Linked DNA regions of Drosophila melanogaster. The gene in region 3 interacts genetically with the main gene of each other region. Each region holds a gene or a part of one and is shown on either strand. Other genes may lie near its edges.

Region 1 (7,886 bases), on a different chromosome or scaffold from region 3:
TTGTTGAATACGGGTAATATGAATGCTGAGATTTCTCTGCTCCAGTCCTGGACCTGCTTACGTGCCATTGGCCTTCGGCAGCGATCGCACCAGATACAGCTTTTCGCCCTGCTTATTCGTGTAGATGGGCGCTCTTTGGTAGTGATCGACCAGTTGGTCCAGCGAGTGGAACTTCCTCTGCCCAATGCAGTACATGTTCTGCTCCACGTGCACGCGGAAGTGCTTGTTGCGCCCTGGGGCCTTTAACGAAACCGAATAGTCTCCCATCTGCAAGAAAGGATGAATTCGTTTATACACTCTCAAAGAATTCGGGCGGAACTATGTTATGGCACTTCAATTGCGAATTCCACTTACGTTAGTCTCACTGTCTCTGATGAGGAAGTCGCCATCGTGCCCGTGGCCGTTGAGCACCGTGTCGCACTGGCTGCGGGTGATGGCTCCATAATACCACGACTTGCCCGCCAGATTTGGCCGCTCGATTGGCTGGCCGGAAGATTGCGCCGCCGGCTTATTACCCTCATTGCGCCGCTCCATGGAGTCGTTTCCTCCGCCACCACCTGCGCCGCCATTACTTCCTCCTCCATTTCCGTTTCCTGCACTGGCACTCGCATTACGATAGGGCGTGGCCAGGTAGTCGTTCAACTCTTGGAGATAATTGCGTGGAACTAAACCGACTTGGCCCTGATTGTTGCGAGCTTTGTACCAGTCCGGATCGGAGGCGGGCCGATCCACGATCTCCAAGCGATCGCCCTTCTCGAACGAGAGCTCCTGGTCGTTGTTTGACGTGAAGCTGTACAGCGCGACCTATATATTTGAAAATAGTTGTTATTAGCCAATAATGACAACCTCTCATAGATGATGTGAATGTTTATTTTGAGAACACGTCCAGTTACTCACCACAATATCAAGCACGTTCTCGGCCATTGCGTAGGTGTGGATCTCGCCGTCGTTATCACAATCCTCCGTTGTGTAGTTGCTGGGGAACCAGCCGACGGAATTGCCGCTCTGTCCACGCCACCATCCATCGTTGGACTTCTCCAGGATGAGGATTCGTGTGCCCTTGGTCAGCGAAAGTTCATCGGGCTGCTGGGCCTGATAGTTATACTTGACCACAGCCGTTCCGATGGCCTCTGCGGGATCTGGGGGAAGTCGGCGCGACATGGTTGGACTCTCGACCTGTCGCGAAGGCGAACAATTAGGCAGTGTCTTCGATCCGGAGCCCTTTTTCACCTTCTTCTTAATGCTGCACAGAAATCGTAAATCAAAATATTCACGATCAGTATTGGGATGAAGTTTTATGGTTAGATTTCATTGGCGGTTTAAAGTGGGTTAGACTAGCCCTAGTTGGTTTGGGTGTTAGTGGATCTTTAGTTTTTAGGGGCAAGTGGGGCTCGACAGACAACGAAATCAAAACGAATTTGTTGTTTTGAAATACAAAATACAAAAGCCGAAAGCAGTTATAAGTTAAATTACGATAGCCAAAGCAAAAGGTGGAGGCGGGTATTTGAACGCGATAGAGATACAGATACATCTACGGATACGGATACAGATACAGGTATAGAGGGCTTAATTCTGCTGAAATCAGAGCAAGAAGAACGCTTAGGTTTAGTCGGGCCAGGAATCTGACGCACCTGTCGAAGAGCGAGGGCTTCTCCTTCTTCACATAGTTGCTTGGCACGTAGCCGGACTGGTTGCGACTGTTCTGGACGCGCCACCAGTGCTTGGAGTCGTCCAGCAGCAGGTAGCGCTCGTTCTTGCGCAGATCCAGCTCCTGGGCACCCTGCGCCGCATAGTCGTACTTGGCTACCACGTAGCAGACGTCGTCCTGAGATTTGCCTGCGGAGTGATTAACAGGAACAGGTTAGAAGAGTACCAAGTGCACACACAGTTAGAAAAGCAAAATGGGCCAGTATGATAGAACCACAAATTCATTAGCATACAAATCCTAGATCCTTTTACTACACCCAATGCTCTTCTCGCTGTGAGGTTATTGTGTTGCAGTTGCTCACCGTGCTTCATGTTGCCCGCCATTGATTGGGTTCCAGCGTTGCCGGCGGCACTGCCACTGGAGGAGTTGCCGCTACCGCTTCCGTTGGCGCTTCCGCTGCCGTTGCCGCCGCAGTCGAGCGCTGGCTGGCCGAAGGTCACACTTTTGTGCTGGGCGCTGCAGGAGGAGGCGGTGGACAGGGTGCGGTGGTGGTGCAACTGCTGTTGCTGGGAGAGCGAAGAGTGCCGCTGGTGATGGGCAGGTGAGCCGGGAACGGGCACGGGCACCTGGGGACGGTACTGGTAGATCTGATTCTGGTTCAGGTTCTGATTCTGGTTGAGATTCAGATTCTGGTGCTGCGGCAGCTGTGGCGGATGCTGCTGCTGCTGCGGATACTGCTGCGAACTGGCTGAGGAGTCGGGGATGTTGCGCACAAACCGCTGGGGGTGTTCCAACATTCCAGACTGGCTGCTCCTCCGCCGCGGGGGGATTCCTGCTCCTCCAGCTGGGACTGCCCTGATGCTCCTGGTGATGCTCCTGGAGGCAAGAGGCGGTGGCTCAGTGTTGGTGGACTTGGAGTTGGGGTTGGAGTTGATGAACAACAAGTCTTTGATGGTTTGGTTATGTGTTGCAGTTGCTCGCTGGCACTCTAAGCTTGCTGCAAATCGCCTCTAGCCAATGCATAATTGCTGTGGGCGTGGTTTCAGGGGGCGAATGGGCGTGAGCGTGGGCGGAAGCGTAGGCGTGGCAAAGTAAACATAAGCAACGCAATAACATAAGCAACGAACGAAGAAAGAAAGAAAAAGAGAGCAAATGATATATGCAAATTAGGCTTAATTGTTTCGCACTGAAGAAGCTAAAGAGCGTAAAAATGATTAGCTTAAAAAATACAATGCAAGTACTCAAACTCGAAATACCAAATAGGAAATCAACTCAAAATTAGCCGAGAGATGAATGTTTGTTTTTGGGGTCAGCGAGCCGGCGATGAAGATGAATGAGTGAAGTGTTTGTGTTGTGATGATCATGATGATGATAATATGAGCGGGAGATGGATATGGGGGCTGAGGGATCTGGCCATTCCAGTTGTGGGGCAATTAAAATCTGTGCAAGTGAAAGTTGCCTCCGACTGACTCCACTCAATTGAATCCAATTGCCAGGCGAGCGAATAAGTGGCCATCGGGTATTGATTTGTTCAACGGGGCAGCCTCACCGAGGCTGGAGAACCAGAGACTCAAAATCCGGGCCATTTCAGGCCAAGAAAGACACAGAAATCAACTGAGACATTCGACCGCAATGAGTCACGAACGTGAATGGTCGGGGGTATTGGGAAATTGGTTTCTTAACCGAGATTTACCGAGTGACATAAGGCAGTTAGCGGGCGGCACAGAAGGTTATTTCGGCCAGAGATCTCTAGAGAGGCTTCCCGAGTTCGTTGGCCAGGTTGGCGAGCCAACAAAATCAAAGTCAATGTCATAGCCGAGGGCCATCTTTGGATAATTAAAAATCAATAAGTGTGGGCCACGTTGAGAAAACGCTCTACTCGGTCTTTGACTCTAGGCCAATCTTGGTTTCGCTTTTCAATGACTGTTAGGTCATACACGAGAGGCTGAGTCAGCTGAAAGTGTTTTCGAGAGCTCTAATGCCATTCAATTCTGGCATTTCGGTGCAATATCTATTAGCAACTGACCCATACGTATATAATAAGAAATGCAGGCAATGCATAAATTTGTTTTGCCGGTAAACTTCTAATCGTGCTTCCTGTTCGAATTTTGGCCATAATAATCTCCATGTGATAACGAGTGTTTTTGTTTACTTTACCATCGATTAGTCAAAGGTTTTTGCGTTAGCTAGAGATACGGAGAAGTACCTGTTTAACCGAAGCATTGGTCGCAAAGTGATTCACTGTTGTGCGAATTGTCTGTGTGTTTTCCCTATTTTTTGAGAGGAGAAAGCGGGAGTGAAACCGTAACCGAACCCAGATAGAAACGGAGAAAGAACCCGAAAAAGATTATATTTATGCAAATGCTGGAGTGATAAGGGGGCGGTTCAGTTCGGTTCGCTTGGGGACTTGGTAAACATGAAACGCCTGGCTGGCTGGCTGGCTGCCAATGAACTGAAATGCACCACCGTTGGATTCGGATCGGTGTTTGGATTTCTTTGGCTTGGTGATTGTTTTGTTATTGTTTGCGCTTGCATAAGCCCAACAGCCGAGACATTGACATTACACTGCTGATAAAATCCGAAGAAATCGGAAGGAACTTGCTGATAAGTTCGTTAGCGCGGAGAAATTGTCAAAAAATATATTATGAACTATGATTTGATAAGATTCCCTACTGCTACTGCAATAAATGAATATATATTTTTAAAGAATTCTTTGTGGTATGATTTCTTAGCTTCCCGTATGACAAACATTTATGTTTTTTTCCGGTGCACTCGTTCATTGTTTTCCTGACAGCAGTTCGTCTTTTCGCTGAGAGAAAGAAAGAGTTGCACGTGCTTGGGGGACAAGCCCACAAGTTTATGAGGCGGAAAGTTTGTTTCCCCGTGCTGTGTCTGTGTATTGGTTGAAGATCGGTTCCAGACGAGGGAGTATAGTCATTGGTCCCCAAGAAAAGCCATCACGAACGAATTGGTGGCCCCGAAACGGGAGCATTTGGGTCTATAACATTGAGTTACGACTTCGGTGGATGGATGGGGCAGCCATGGAGGAACTGAAAGTGGGGCACTCTTATCTGGATCTCGGGGCGTGGGAGGCAAAGGGCAGCCTGTTTACATAAGATCACTCATTCAGGGAGCTGGGAGTCCACTCCCGCCCGGGTTGATTAAGTAGATGCTTTTGCTGGGGAATGGGATTCGAATGGGGTTTCGGTTTCGGTTTTGTTTTTTGTATTTTGTATTTTTTTTTTGGCTTTTGTTGCCGAGGGAGTTTGCGACATTTGCCGGCCGTTTCGTTTAGAGATGCTGCGCAAAATCTCTGCGAGGTGGTGGCTTTTTGGCAGCGAGAGGGTGGACTTCTCGTCCTGCAAAGGATGGCAGGACTCGTTCCCAGTGTTGTTAAGAGTACAAGCTTTTGTACCTGGCACAGGCTTTTGAAAAACACAAGTACCTACTATAGTAGTATTTGAGCAATGAACATATTATAGATTTATGGTAAGTGAAGCATCTTCACGATTTATCTGTTTCATCTATCTAGACAAGGGAAAGGGTACATATGTACACACATATATATCGGTGGCACAGTTTGCCGTAAACACGACCATGGTTACCCAAAAAAAGGTGATGGAAAGCGGAGGGCTAAGGGTTGCAGCACCGCCCACTGGGCGGGTGGTGGACCGAGCCAAAGGACTACGCACCACCAGGTGACGAGGGCGAGATAAAGAGAGAGAGCGCAGGTCAAGAGAGAGAGAGAGAGAGCCGAGAGAGAGAGCCGTGAGAGATTCGAACAGGAGCTAAAAAGGAGCAGCCGAATATTTTGTGTGTACCTACCGGAGACGAAGCGGTTGGACTGGCAACTCCTATATTCCTCCTGGATCTCCTTATCCTGGCACTCCTTATCCGTATCCGTATCCTTATCCGGAAAGTCGGAGTCCGTATTTCTCGGTCTTAACCCTTGGCAATCCTCAGGATTTGGGAGTGGAAGACATGGGATAAGACACTGCTCCTGGAACTCCTGGAACGCACTCTATATCACTTCCACTTTCCACTGGGCTATTGCACTTTACACACACTTAAAACACAACTTTAATTATAATACACCTAGGCGTGAGTGTGTGTGTGTGAGTGGGGCGGGGGTGAGCCTGTGTGTGTGTACATATGCTGCTGCCGCGATTGAAAAACACACAAATCCTGACAAATAAACGCTTTTCCACGCTTCTGATTACCGCACACGTTAACTGCGTTAAGTGGCAAATTGTTTGCACAATTTTGCAGCGCTCTCTTGCGGTTAACTAATTAAATTTTAATGATTTTGCCGGAGCCGTTTCTTTCACGTCGCCCATCCGATTTCGATGTGCGGAAGGCGATAGCGATTGACCACGACCAGGGCTGTCAGGTGGCGTATCAGCGGTTTTTCTTAGCGAACTATCGATAAGCACGTTGCGCGCTGTGCAGCACTTGTCCGGTCATCGGGTCTATCGATATCGGGTGGCGTTTTTGTTATGATTTTGGATTACATGGTTGGTTTAACCCGAAATACCATGCTGAAAACTCGGGGTATTGTGCTTGGCATCAGCAGGTCGTACACCGCCAAGGCGAAGAGGGGTGTGCTGGCGCAGGACAAGTCGAAGATCAAGGAGTACTCACCGAAGACGACGGACAGCCATGAGCACCGAGTTTACGTGTGGGGCTTTCAGGAAACCGGCGCTCTCGGTCTCCAGACCAACGTGAAGAAGGCCAAGGAACGCTACACGGAGATGGTGCACCATCCCACCCGCTTGCAGTTCTCCAACAACAACGAAATCACGGATGTGGCCGCCGGCTACGGGTTCACGGTCTACGCCGTGAATAGAGATGACGGAGAGACGCTCTTTGGCAGCGGTTTGAACACCGACTCCCAACTGGGTTTCCAGGTGAAGGGAAATCCCAATGATCCGGCCAACCTTGACGTGATCATTTATCCTACAGCCATTAAACTGCCGAGAGTTCAGGGAGAAACAGACGAGGACATGCGTGTGAAGAGCATGTCGGCGGGTAGAGCTCACCTGGTGGTTCTGACCCAAAACGGAACCATTTTCACCCTGGGAAACAATTCGTACGGCCAATGTGGCCGCTCCATCATAGAGGAGGAGCGGTACAGCAAGAGTGCCCTGATCCACAGGATATCGCAGGAAGATATATGCGGCAAGGAGGATGAGGTGGTCCAGGTGGAGTGCGGCCAGGACCACAGCATGTTTCTTACCAAAAAGGGACGCATTTACACATGTGGCTGGGGTGCGGATGGTCAAACAGGTCAGGGAAACTACCACACCGCCGGGCAGATAACCCTGATTGGAGGAGATGTGGAAAAGGAGAAGATTGTGCGGCTCAGCTGCTCCTCGGACTGCGTTTTGGCCCTTAACGAGGCGGGCGATGCCTTTGGCTGGGGCAATTCTGAGTACGGACAGCTAGATGACTCAGAGCTGGCCGAAACCCAAATAAATATCCCTAGAGCTCTCAAACTAACGAAGTCCATCGGGAAAATCAAGGATGTGGCTGCGGGAGGCTCATTTTGCATGGCCCTCAACGACCAGGGTCTGGTGTACACCTGGGGCTTTGGCATCCTCGGCTTCGGACCCTTCGTGGAGCAAACATCCAAGCCGCAGCATCTGTTGCCGCCTTTATTCGGACGAAATGACTTCAGCAACGAAACCACAGTGGTTTCCATCGGATGCGGAGTGTTTCACATGGGCGCCGTCAACTCGGACGGAGATCTCTTCATGTGGGGCAAGAACAGGTTCGGGCATCTGGGGCTGGGACACAAGAAGGACCAGTTCTTTCCCTTTAAGGCGGCCATCAACGGAAAGGTCACCAAAGTGGCCTACGGAGTGGATCACACCATTGCCTTGTGCAAGCCGTTCTTCTAGATTAAGCTGTTTGTTTTAGATTAGTTAACTTAAAGTATACTCTAGTCGAAAATACTATTGCCAGTGGCAGCCCAACCAATAAAGATCACACTGCTAAAGATCACAAATTCGCGTTTAATACATGTAAGTAGTTTAAAGAACATTTAGATTAATTTACTTGTTTCTCTTACGCATGCTGATAGTTGCCATGTTTTCCGCCCTCAGGTTGTTTTTGCTGTAAATAGCTTCGTTCTGAATCCGTTCTATACATTAATTGTTAGAATAGAGTTTAAGAGCATATATATAAAATATGTACTTGGAATGCCGCAGTGTGTCTGTGCGCGTGTACCGATCCAATC
Region 2 (7,685 bases), on a different chromosome or scaffold from region 3:
TATTCCGTGAGCCCTTCAATGATTAGGAAAATGCATTGCTAAACGAATGCAGTCGAAATCAATGCAAATAAGCCTAAAACAGAAATTCCAATCACAATAAAAGTCGGTGTCGAGTTTTTTCATTACTGAATTTTTTTATAAAACGTAGAATTCGTCAGCATTTGTATTAAGACTAATTATTAATTTCAATTTCTTAGTTAGGACTAGTCGATTAATCGTTAATATTGGCAAATGCTATTCACACAATTCAGATCATCGAGTCTTACCAGTTTTAAATGCTTAGTAATACTAATCAATTTCGTTTCCATTACATTTTATACAGTGAGTCAAAGGAGCTGTCTTCCTATATCGTAGAAAAAATTATTATCACCGTTGGTTTTTCTTGTTTTCGAAACTTCTGGTTTACAACTTCCGATTTTGGTTTAATTTCTTTTGTAGTACGCTTTTAGGAAAATATGCCATTCTAACACTCTAAGAAGACTAGGTTCTTGAAATTTATACAATAGATTATTGTTCTTGGTATTGTTTATTATTGGTATCAATCAATTTGCTTAAGGTTTTGCCATCGTTAAGGTATTTCATTTGTTTCGAATACAAAGTGGAAAAGGTTACAAGTCAAAGGCAAAAAGGCAGGCGTGTTTACGGTCTAGTTTATAAGGATTAGATTTGAAGGGAAAGATTAGTAGGAAAAAAAACGGGAGTGGGTATCTCAAACAGCCATTTTCGAGTGGTAAAATGCAAAAGCTTTTTATTTTTTTTTATGCGGCATTCGTTTTGGTTAGTAGAATTCTTCATCTACATTCACCATTCCCCAAATGGCCATATATCTTATTCTTGTGGTTTTTCTATTACAACTATTATGAGCACAATTAATTCCGAGTTTTGCCAACGCCTGACATACATACATATTCCTTAGTTCAATGAATGTACTTTTTCTACCGCTCGTAAAATATGCTAAGGCCACATTTAATTTATTTATACTTCTATTCCTATTTAATCTTCTTGAGCTCAACGCAACACGGGTGGAGAGGGCGTGGAACGCGATATTGTGTCCAACAATCTTAATACATCTAATCAGGCTTCAGTTAAGGTAAGTGAAGTGGAGATAAAGGCAAACAAAGGAAACATAAAGCGCTCTAAAAGGGTAATTGAAACGAAATTGCTGCGCACAATGTACATGGAAAAGTATGAAGTGAACGGGCAAAGTAAACAAATTGAAAATGGACTTGAAAGGTGAGCAGGCAAGAAAGCTGGAAGGAAGATGGCTATAAATTCTCAAATACTTTGGAAAAAGTTAAGAAAGATCTAAAGAGTGATAGATAATTACAAGAAAGGTGCTGCACTATAATTAAATCAATAAGTTTTAGGTTTTAAAGCTATGTCATAGGAAATGTAAATGATTTGATAAAAGATCACACTGTAGTAGGAAAGGATTAAATGGCAAAGGAGTACGTCTCAGAAGTGCTTAACTCTTAATTCTGCGAGCTCTCTTAGGATTTAATTAAATAAGGACACCTAATCTAGGTCTAAACTTAAATCCGGCATAAGCGTAAAACGTAAGCTGGCTAAAAGCTAATCATCGTTAAATATACATATATATACATAGTATACAGAAGCACTTTTTTACATTTATTTCGTTTTACTCCTTTTTTGCTGTAGTATAACCTTCACCCAGTGGCTTGCATTCGAATGTCCGCGTCCAGAATCGTCTTGAATCGTGAGCGGAAAAAGTGTCAGCATTCGTTTTTTTCCTGGATGTGTAGTGTAGTGGATTGTGTAAGTTGGGTTTTTCAAGCGTTCATTATCACGCAACGATGGCGGCCATTGCGGACGACGACGACGACGATGATGATGATGGCGGTGATGATGATGTTGACGGTGTTGGTGGTGTTGATGATGATGACTGGTGATGCGAAGTGGGGGCAACCTGAGAATGATGCTGATGCTGCTTCTGCTGCCGGCTGGGCTTATGTTGGGACTGGGACTGGTGATGGGACTGGGAAATGTGATGGACCGGAAAACTCCACAGAGCAAAAGGCATCTGCTGCTGGACCAACAAAAGCAGTTGGCGTAATTTGTTGGTTGTCGTTGTTGTCGCTGCCGTTGTATCCTTCCCACTTCCCCCAGCTCCCCCGCCAGTTATTGTCGCGGTCGTGGTTGCTGCTCTTGTTTCGCCACCCGGGCAGGTGGCACTGGCATCATCCCCAAACTCGCTACCATTCCGCCGCCTCGCGCAGCGCATCTGCATCAGCTGCAGCTCGCCGCGTCGTCATTCATCCCAGAGGCACTGTTGTTTCTGCCGCACATAATAGGTGAACTGTGTGCACTTGCGGCAGGTCTTGATGCCGCAGCGATAATTCGTCGGCTGTGCCTGCTGCTGGGCGCCCGACGAGTCCGCTCCGGCGACTCCCTTGCCCTTGCAGTACTTGAGCCCGCAGGGATACCAGCCGATGCAGGTCTCCAGGTTGCACAGGCAGGGCGCCCACAGGCTGCTCACCTCGTTGCAGCGCGTCGAGAGCGTGTCCGGGAACTTTTCGGTGGCGGCCTCCAGGCTGGAAATCGAGGAGCCTGCCAGGAGCAGGAGTACAACGAACGGAAAGCGAAACAAAAGCGTAAACAAAAAGTTTGAAAGTGGCAAGAACCCTCAAAACTGGTCGATATCTGTACTGAAGTTTTCCATCTACCAAGATTTCAGACGGATTTCTCTAACTAACTTTCCTAACTTTCGATTAACATGTTTTTGTTTTAATAATTGGTAACTCTTTAAAAGGCAAAACTGGAAATGAATGCTTTAACTTTTTCCTCATTGTATATATGCACGTACTGCTTTTATAGATTCGTTTTAATAATTTTGTTTGTGCAAAACTTCAACCATATTGCGCAGCGCACGCGATGACTTTTTATAGGTAGAACTTTAAATAATCAGCAGCGCAAACGGTTTTAATATTATCCAAAAAATTGAAAACAATTAAAAAGAAAAACATTCAACCATAAATGTGCTTTAAAATTACTTATAGGGATATTCCATTTAAAGATTTACCAATTTCACGCACTGAACATCCCCAGGGAAGCACTCACCTGGTAGCTCCGCCCAAGCTTTAAGGTCCACATCCCGGACATAGGTGGCGTCCATGGCCTCGGCGCAGAGTCCCTGCAGATGTCTGGTGATGGGCAGCGAGCGGTTGAGCTGTACCCAGCTGCTCATGGTGAAGGTCTCACGGCCCTTGTCCTCCTCGGGAGTGCGGATGGTGTGCGGATTCTTCTGGCGCAGCTTGGCCATTGCCGCCGAGGAGATGAAGTCGCCCTTGTTGAACTTGGTTGCGAAGCACATGACCTGGTACTGGCTCTGGCCACGCTCCTCCTCGCCGAGAACCAGAGCCTTGAGGATTTGAACCTCCTGAGGGGAAGATGGATAAGAGGTTTTCAATTTCAATTGGGTCTCTCGCCCTGCTCTCTAGAGCCTCGGATTCTTCACTCACATTGCGAAAGTCGATGACCTGGGTGATGAGCGTTCCGTCGGTCTTCTGAAACTCCAGCGTTATCAGGTCCTCGCCAATGTTGGAGGTAATACTCTCCTGGATCACCTCGCCGCCCTGCAAAAAATGAAAAACAGGAAATGAAACGGATTAGAGAGAGCAACAAGTGTTAAATTACATTCTCGGCATCCCTCCCCTAGCCAGCTAAAATATTAATACGGCACAAAGGCAGTGACGAGATGTTGCAGAGGGGTTCCTTACGTTGTCAGGACTTAAATTAACTATGACAGCTCCTGAAGCTGGGCGGCCATGAACCAAATTAGAGTCAAGAGAGTTGAAAAATAGAAAAAAGACAAGCATGGGGGCCAACGAAAACGAAACGAAGATGAGTGGGATGGGTTTTGGCAAAAGGGAAGGATGGGTTTTGGGTATGAAGATGAGAGCGGAGGAGCCAACTCCTCATTCCACGACAACTGGAAATGTAGTTCAACAACAACAGCAGCAGTATTTGCCCTCAACACGTGTACATGAACCAATTTGTTGGATGTGGGTGATGTTGTTGTTATGATACCCTGGTATAGACTAATTTCACTGCTCTGATTACAGATATCTTAATACTGATGTCATTTAGTAGCTGGTACAGAATGTCGACTAATTAACTATTAGAACTAGTATGATTAAGAACTGGATTTCATAGGGTATATCGGGATTCGACCCTTGCAACAACTATGCTTTCTGCTTTGTTCTTGTTTCTGCTGGGTTTTCCGTGTGTTTGCACAAGGGCGCATGTAAACAAAGAATAGCCGAAAGAAGTGAGAAGAGAAGAGGAAGTATGGAGGAGCGAAGGAAGAGAGCCATCAGGACATTTTGGGGCCAGGGACAGAGCGCAGAGAACAATGAAGGATGTCACATGTAAACAAAGATGTACGAAAATACGCTGTGTGCAAGTGAAATAGGGAAAGAGAGAAAGAGAGAGGCTGCCTTCATTTCAAGCCCGGTGCTTTTTCGGCCAGCTAATCTAAAATTTATGGAAAAGCCGAAAGCAAAGTGTCAATATTGAGGCAGTCAAACAAACCCAACTAATATTAAAGTGGAAAAACGAAACGACAGGCAAGTGAAAGTTTCAATACTGGCATTGAACTGCACATATGTATATGTCGCATTACGGATGTATTCTGACCACTGTACGTGTCTGTCATATTATTACCATGGTTTGACCACTGTGCTTGCAAGACGCAGCTGCGCAATGAGTTCGGTATATTGAGAGGTCATTCTTAGAATTTGACTATCACGAAGAATATGACTGGCGTCAAAGTACCGTTACGAGTGAGGCGACGGCGTTGTCGCGCTGTCGCCTAGTTGGACTACACTAGCGTGTGTAAAGGATAGATCGATGCGTAGAAAATACGATCAGTTGCATACAGACGATCGCGCACGCCGGTTGGAATTCGCTTCACTCAACATGGGAGATCAGGCACAAGAAAATGTCAACGCTGCGACATATGCATGTACATACATATGTACATAATGGCGTTGCAAGCATATAGAATAGAGCTTTGTTTTATGGTCATCAGGCATCGATGGATTATCTGGCCTACTTAACGGTATACTAATTAGATATCGGCGAAGTACAAGCTCACAGAACATGTTTCCATTCGGAGAATCCTGTATTTTGCATAAATCAATAGGGGACATGATTTGTTGTGCACATGTGTGCTGCACGAATCAACGTGGGCTGTGTATGCGTGTGTGCAATCCTTTACATTTGCAACTTATTGGATGAACTGCGTGTTCTTAAGAACGAACTAAGCATTGTTTATGAAATACCGAATCCTTGCTAATTCTAAAAGCAATATATTGGCGTATTTTACAATATGACTAGGCAAATTTTAAATTTCAGATACATATACTTGTCATATTCTACTGTCATAGCTGTAATAACTGTCACTGAATTACTATCTTTTTAATATTTAATTTGTTGTTTTCGCAGATTTGTTTATTTGTCTTGAGCACCTCTCTTTCGCTCTCTCATTCTCCCGCGTTTTAAATTTGTTTTGTTTTGGCGCGCAAATTTTCGAAATGAGATGTTCGAAAATCAGATGGGCAGCGCTGCCAGCGTCGCTGTTTGTCGTTGTTGCGTTTTGCGTTGTTGGGATTTAAGTGTTTTAAACCATTTTTTTTTGCGATTTCGCACCTGATTTTGGACGTTAATGAGCAGCTGGGAGTGGGCGAATGCGTCCGCGTTCATCACTAAGTTGCACAGCAGGAACCACAGAAACGCGCGACTGTGCTTGAAAAAGTGATTTTTACTGACGACGCGACCGCAGCAATTGCCGTGCGCTGGTGTTCGAGTGCGGCTGAGTGCCTTAAGATGCGCCATTCGCCAGCGGACCTGCGCCTGCCTTGCCGCATTTGCGGCAGTTTCGATGCTCTGGTGTGGGTGCTCCTCCTTTAAGATCATTGCGATCCGACAACTTTTAAATAAAATCACAAGAAAGCACAACGAACCACTCGCGTCGACGAACGAAAAATAACTGGCAGAAAATGGTGAAACTGACTGAAACGTGACTTTTCGAAATCAGCTGACAGGTGTGACCGTGCGGTAATCCCAAAGGGTGCTGCCAACCTTCTCGAACAGGAGCCTACGAATTTCGATTGTAGAAAATATACCAACCCAATATAGCTGCATTACACTGGCACACATATCTATATCTATAGAATAAATAGACTACATTCATTTTCATTTAGTATTTAAATATTCATATTGGAATTTCCACTGCATACGTTCACACCAGCCGCACAGCTGATGCCTGTACTATGCACTAAAATTTCCCAAAACGCGTTGCCTCGCCGTCGCTTGTGACGTGTTGTTTTTTTGTAAAATATGTTTTTCAGCTGCTAAAACGGACATAGATTGTTGAAAATCCACTGAAACTAACTCAGAAGGACGGGCTAAAGACGGACTATATAATGCTGACCCTGCGGGAGCGCCAAATCAGTGAGAAACTATGAAAACAATGCCCCCATTGAAGGGAAAACCTAATTAATGGATTTTCATATTAATCATTGCAGATGCCATTAAGCAGATGCTTAATTTGAACTCGCAGCAGCCGAAAGCCCTAGCTGCCGAGCCCGTGTGGAAGATCCTTATCTACGATCGCGTTGGCCAGGACATCATATCGCCCATTATTTCCATCAAGGAGCTGCGCGAGTTGGGCGTGACGCTGCATGTGTAAGTTGTGCGAGATCCTCCAGGAATCCAGAAATTATAGCTTTGGTTAACCTCCAGGCAACTGCACTCGGATCGCGACTCCATTCCGGATGTGCCGGCTATATACTTCTGCCTGCCCACCGACGAGAATTTGGACAGGATTCAGCAGGACTTCTCGAGCGGACTGTACGACGTGTACCACCTGAACTTCCTAGCTCCCATAACGCGCAGCAAAATCGAGAATCTGGCCGCCGCAGCCCTGCATGCCGGCTGCGTGGCCAACATCCATCGCGTTTACGACCAGTATGTGAACTTCATCAGTCTGGAGGATGACTTCTTCATCCTAAAGCACCAGCAGAGCGATCAGCTTTCATACTACGCCATCAACCGGGCCAACACCCGCGATGAAGAGATGGAGGCCCTGATGGACTCCATTGTAGACTCGCTCTTCGCCCTGTTTGTGACCCTGGGCAATGTGCCCATCATCCGCTGTCCGCGGAACAGTGCCGCTGAAATGGTGGCACGCAAGCTGGAGAAGAAGCTGCGCGAGAACCTTTGGGATGCGCGTGCCAATTTGTTCCACATGGATGCCACGCAAGCCGGCGGCGGAGTGTTCAGCTTTCAGAGACCTGTGCTCCTGCTGCTGGACAGGAACATGGATTTAGCCACGCCGCTCCATCACACCTGGTCGTATCAGGCGCTTGTGCACGATGTACTGGACTTGGGACTGAATCTTGTCTACGTGGAGGACGAGACGGCTAGTGCGGGCAAGTAAAATTACTTTTATCAAGGCGCTGAATAACTGAGACTCACCAACTACGTTTTCCTATTCTTTAGGAGCCCGCAAAAAACCCAAGGCCTGTGACTTGGACCGCAACGACCGCTTCTGGATGACGCACAAGGGCAGTCCATTTCCCACGGTGGCCGAAGCCATCCAGGAGGAGCTGGAATCCTATCGGAACTCCGAGGAGGAGATCAAGCGCTTGAAGACATCGATG
Region 3 (4,550 bases):
GCCACCCCCCCCCCTTTTACTTCCACCCATATTTTACCCATATTTTCCCGTGCTTCCCCCGACTTTTCCCACCTCCCAACTTGTTGGACTTTTGTAACGGTTCTGGCACTGGCTGTTCATCAGGCTGCAGTCGCAGCAGTTCGGCTTACACACAATTTACAAAATAACCTCAATCCACCCACTCAATCTCGCATTCCCGCGCCCCGCTGGAAAACTGCGTCCCTGCCTCGCAGGGGCCCTTCACTCAGTCACTCAGTCAGCCGACTGGGAGAGTGTGTAAATTGTCTTGTGTAAATATGCAAATTTTTCTTATTTTCATACCCTGAAAGGGAGTCGCACTGCTGCAACAAGAACTTTACAAGCCTCTCAGGAAAATGCAGCCGCACTAGTACTGTTTTATGAAGTAAAACTAGTAACTTTGGTAAGCACTTTTTTGTAAGTGCTATTCAGAATATGCTCAACTGTATAGGAGTTGTATTAAACAAATGCGACTTTAAAAATATTTAAAGAGTTTATTCAGCATTTCCTTCAAGCAATTTTTTTCTACGAAGGAAATCCTTTGAGATGTATCTATTTATCTAATGAAATTTAAAATATAATTTTGCCAAATCATTATAAAAATTAATATATATACTCCCGATTTTTTCCTAATCCATTTAGTTTACAAGCTCTAACTTGATTTTCTGTTTCATAATAAGATTAACTGAAATATTATATACTCTTGCATCGTTTGAGTTCACATTTTTTAATTTAAAGTTGATATGGTCTGCTTTTTACTTTATTTTAACTCATATAATAAGAGTAACTTTCTTAAATCATCCTAATTTCTACCGAAATAGATTCCCATCTATTTTTAGGCACTTTTCGTGCAAGGGTATTAAGCGTATCGACTTCCTGGGGTGTATCCTGTCAATCCTGTTTTTATTGTCAACGTTGTTGTTATTGTCTGGAGTGTGGATAGGGATCGGGGGCGCTGTGGGCGGGGCGCTGGCAGTTCGTGTAAACAAACCAAGGCGTCGGATTAAAAAGTTTTGCATTACAAAGAGTTTTCGGTGGACGGACGATGGGGACGGAAGCTTGGGAAAATGTTTTGATTATTTAACTGCAAGTTACGATAAAACTAATTGCAATTACAAGCGGACTCTTTCCCTTTATGGCCCCTAATGAAATTGGCAATGCCAAGGCTGACGATTCAGCACAACTCAAATCAAACTCGGACGCAAACTTCGCACTGCAATTTTATTGGCCCGGTTCAATTTGAATGGTTTGCTTTCTTTGTTGGCCTCTGCATAAATTTTCCTCGGGCAATATTGATTTCCATTACAAATCCAATATTAAACTATGCCCCTGAGAGCGATTACTCGATTCCTACCGTTTTGCTTACTTACTTAAACCTTTTGTAACTCAACGAAATTGAGGACATGGCCAGGACACGGCCAGGATGCACCCGGCCCACAGATTTGTAGTTATTACAAAGGATCATTAAGAGCGTAGATATATTTTCCCTTTAGACTTGTCATTTAATCTCTGGAAATATTTACTACACATTCCTACCTCATAATTTGTCAAAATATTTTTGGGTGCCTTTAAAAACCAAATTTATGTTGGCCGGGGGAGATGTAAGAGTACTCAAATATATTATTGAATATAAATTGGTAACACGGATTAGCCAGTTTGCAATTGGCCTTGGTCTGCTGAACTTCTGAATAAACTGAATCAAATGCAGATGAAGTAAACTGATATTTGCTAATAAAATATAAGAAACTGAAATTTGAATTGTGCTCAGCCAACTTTAGGTTTTGTTGTAATTTAATTTGCTAGTTAAAAGTTTTCGAAGATTTTGTTGTTATAACTGAACCGAATGTTTCTTAGCAGTATAGTATTCTTGCAAAACACCTCAATGTGGTTTAGAAAAATAATTTATTGTAATTTAATTTAGGTATATCTTAATTCTGTCAGTAGATTCTATGATTTAATTTTCTAAAAATTCTTTGTAATTATTAAAGGTAAATAAGGACCATATATTTGTCTGACCTGTTATTAATTATTTTATACATCTGTACTGATGTGAATGGATGAATATTTTTTAAATGTGTTAACGTAGTGAATTTTCTTGCAGTACCATAGATATTAACTGCTTGGATACTCACTCAAATATTTTAATATATTTATTTTATATTAAAACTTGGAAACCCCAACGTTTTCGAACCTATCTAACATTTTTAAATATAAAACCTAATTGATAAACACGTACTTCATAATAGATAGCACATAGTGAGAATGCACTTTAAATATTTTTAGAACCCACATTATAAAATTTTCAAAAGACTTAGTTAAAATAAATATTTATACAAAGAAAATGAGCAAACAAATGTTTTTTTTTTAATATTGGTTTTGTACCTGTGCCCTTAACGTATTCCACAAAACCACTTAATACAATTTGAACAACATAAAATCTGCTCTCAGAAGAGCATATCACCTGCACTTTAAGTAACTTTACATAGGAATACCTGGCTCTTGTTGGCCGGGAACACAGACTCACCTGCTTTTATTTGACCTTATGCGGCTGCAACTTGTTGACTTTAATGAAAATGCACTCAGCAGAGGCTGACTGGCACACACAAAACGCTGGCACAACAAGTTAATATGTATTAGCTAGTCGCTAGTATGTCTGTAGTATCTTGGCTTAAAACGGCACTCGGTGAGACACCAACAGAAAAAAAAAGGACAAACAAAATCGGGCGGCACTCGCACACTCAAACGTACGCACACAGTTGCAAAACAAGTCAAGCGCGAAAGGACCGACTAAAACATGGCTAACATGTTTGGCTAATTGGCGTTTCTAGCGCCGATTTTTACAGCGCTCTAGCATTTATGTAAGCGGAATGTAAAACGCTTTACAGGACTTCAAAGTCTGGATTGGATTGGATTTGAATTGGAATGTTGTGGCAGGTCGTTCGGTATGTCGGCTGCTGATTTCCTTCGAAGGGATTGTGTGAGCTGTGCGTCCTTGCTGAAGGAGCCGCCGCGTCCAACTGACTGCTGCTGGATGTGCAAGCTGCGATTGTTGCAACGACTCTGCTGTCGCAGCACCAACGAAACGCAGCAGCAGCAGGCGCAGCACGGCGACAGCAGCAGCGTCAAAGGCAAAAGCAGCAGCAACACATAAACGCAGTACATGGTGGGTTCGGTGGAATACATATACATGCTCGTTGCTGCCGAAGTCCTTGCAGTCGAAGGGTTGTGTAGTTGCACTTGTAGTTGCTCGTGTTGCAACACACACAGCAGCAGCAGCAGCAGCAGCAACAGCAGCAACACGACATCAACTTCGGCCCACATTGTGCAATTGGCTTAGTTCCCAGTCAACAACTGGCCGCCTTTACAGTGCCCGTTTACAGCGAAGAGAAATGCTCTCGATATCCTTGGCTGCTTTCTCTCCGAGGATTTTCTCGAACAGCTGTTCGCGCTTGCCGGCTCTTATCAGTGAAATGGTAACAGCTCCTGTTAGCGTGCAAATGCACTTTTCTTTTCTTGGCTTTCCGCAGTGGCATTTCTTTTCGTTTCCTTCCTCTTCCTTGCCTTACTTTCATTTCCGTTCCTTTCGGTGGGGTTTGATTTATTATGTAAAAGTACAAGGACACTGCCACATACAGTGGGTACTCAATTAACTAGCTTTAGAAAACGAAAATATATATATTTTTAAAAAGGCAATGTTTACTTTAAGTAAATATTAATTGAATATAATATGATTTCAATACGAATAGCAAACATAAGTAGGCAACTTAACGTTAATAATTGATGAGTAGGGAAAACTAACAAACAATTTATCAAAAATGTATTAAATATATGCTTTCGCTACGATCCCGATTACAGGGTGTACACTGTACCTGCGGAGCTGCGTGTGCGTGCCAAGTGTTGGACAAACAAGCTGAGCACTAAAGCCGGAATACATTTGAGACTCTTGCAATCGACTTAATACGCCGCTAGAAGGGGGCACGATACGGCCTCATTGCCCCTACGGGAATGACAACCAATATGAAAATGGATTACCACAAAATGCAAATTGCGAAATGGCCAATTGATACCAGCGTCTAGCCACCTAATCGTCCGATTAAACCACCTTAAAATCGCAAAGCAGCCAGGCATTAATTACACGAAGTAAATACACCGACTCGGTTTACTCGGCAATGATAAAATCTATTATTAGAGAGGCCGAGTGGAAAGTTTTCCACCAACCAAGCCAACCAACGTTTGCTGTTGCCAACCGGCGTTGTTAGCAGAGCGCTGCTAAAGGACCTCTGTTAACTGGGCCGGCACGTGTTTCTCTCTCGCACGCACACAGCGAAGCGGATTTTTTGATTCTGTTTTGATTAATAGCTTCGTTGCAAGCTTATCAAGCGCCCACACACACACACACACACACACACACAAGCGCGCGGCCAGGAAGTGCAACAATGTCACGTGGCCGGCATTTGCCGAAGTCTCCTCTCGCCAGGACTCGCGCTCGCTCTCATTTCGAGTTGCCCCCATTTTCTCTCTCTGTAAGGCCT

What was found.
Region 1: of fru (region 3) and dock, changing one suppresses a phenotype caused by changing the other (phenotypic suppression), as found in Drosophila melanogaster (one study listed by BioGRID).
Region 2: of fru (region 3) and oaf, changing one suppresses a phenotype caused by changing the other (phenotypic suppression), as found in Drosophila melanogaster (one study listed by BioGRID).

Annotation. Positions count from the first base shown.
Region 1 is NT_033779.5:824,095-831,980, reverse strand, and holds the start of dock (dreadlocks), read right to left. Parts: upstream 6,013-7,886; 5' UTR 5,474-6,012; intron 2,677-5,473; exon of another isoform or gene 2,525-2,676; 5' UTR 2,446-2,524; coding exon 2,010-2,445; intron 1,837-2,009; coding exon 1,632-1,836; intron 1,244-1,631; coding exon 898-1,243; intron 805-897; coding exon 355-804; intron 268-354; coding exon 58-267; 3' UTR 1-57. Other genes in the region: CG3862 (uncharacterized protein), read left to right, coding at 6,184-7,548. UniProt on the Drosophila melanogaster protein: Adapter protein that links cell surface receptor tyrosine phosphorylation to downstream signaling pathways and effectors, many of which are involved in regulation of the actin cytoskeleton.
Region 2 is NT_033779.5:2,491,282-2,498,966, reverse strand, and holds oaf (out at first), read right to left. Parts: upstream 6,013-7,685; 5' UTR 5,938-6,012; coding exon 5,671-5,937; intron 3,594-5,670; coding exon 3,480-3,593; intron 3,398-3,479; coding exon 3,079-3,397; intron 2,569-3,078; coding exon 2,270-2,568; coding exon of another isoform or gene 1,805-2,269; 3' UTR 121-1,804; downstream 1-120. Other genes in the region: Slh (SLY-1 homologous), read left to right, coding at 6,447-6,474, 6,549-6,708, 6,766-7,454, 7,525-7,685. UniProt on the Drosophila melanogaster protein: Vital for proper neuronal development and hatching.
Region 3 is NT_033777.3:18,542,571-18,547,120, forward strand, and holds the start of fru (fruitless), read right to left. Parts: upstream 3,017-4,550; 5' UTR 2,543-3,016; intron 1-2,542. UniProt on the Drosophila melanogaster protein: Probably acts as a transcriptional regulator.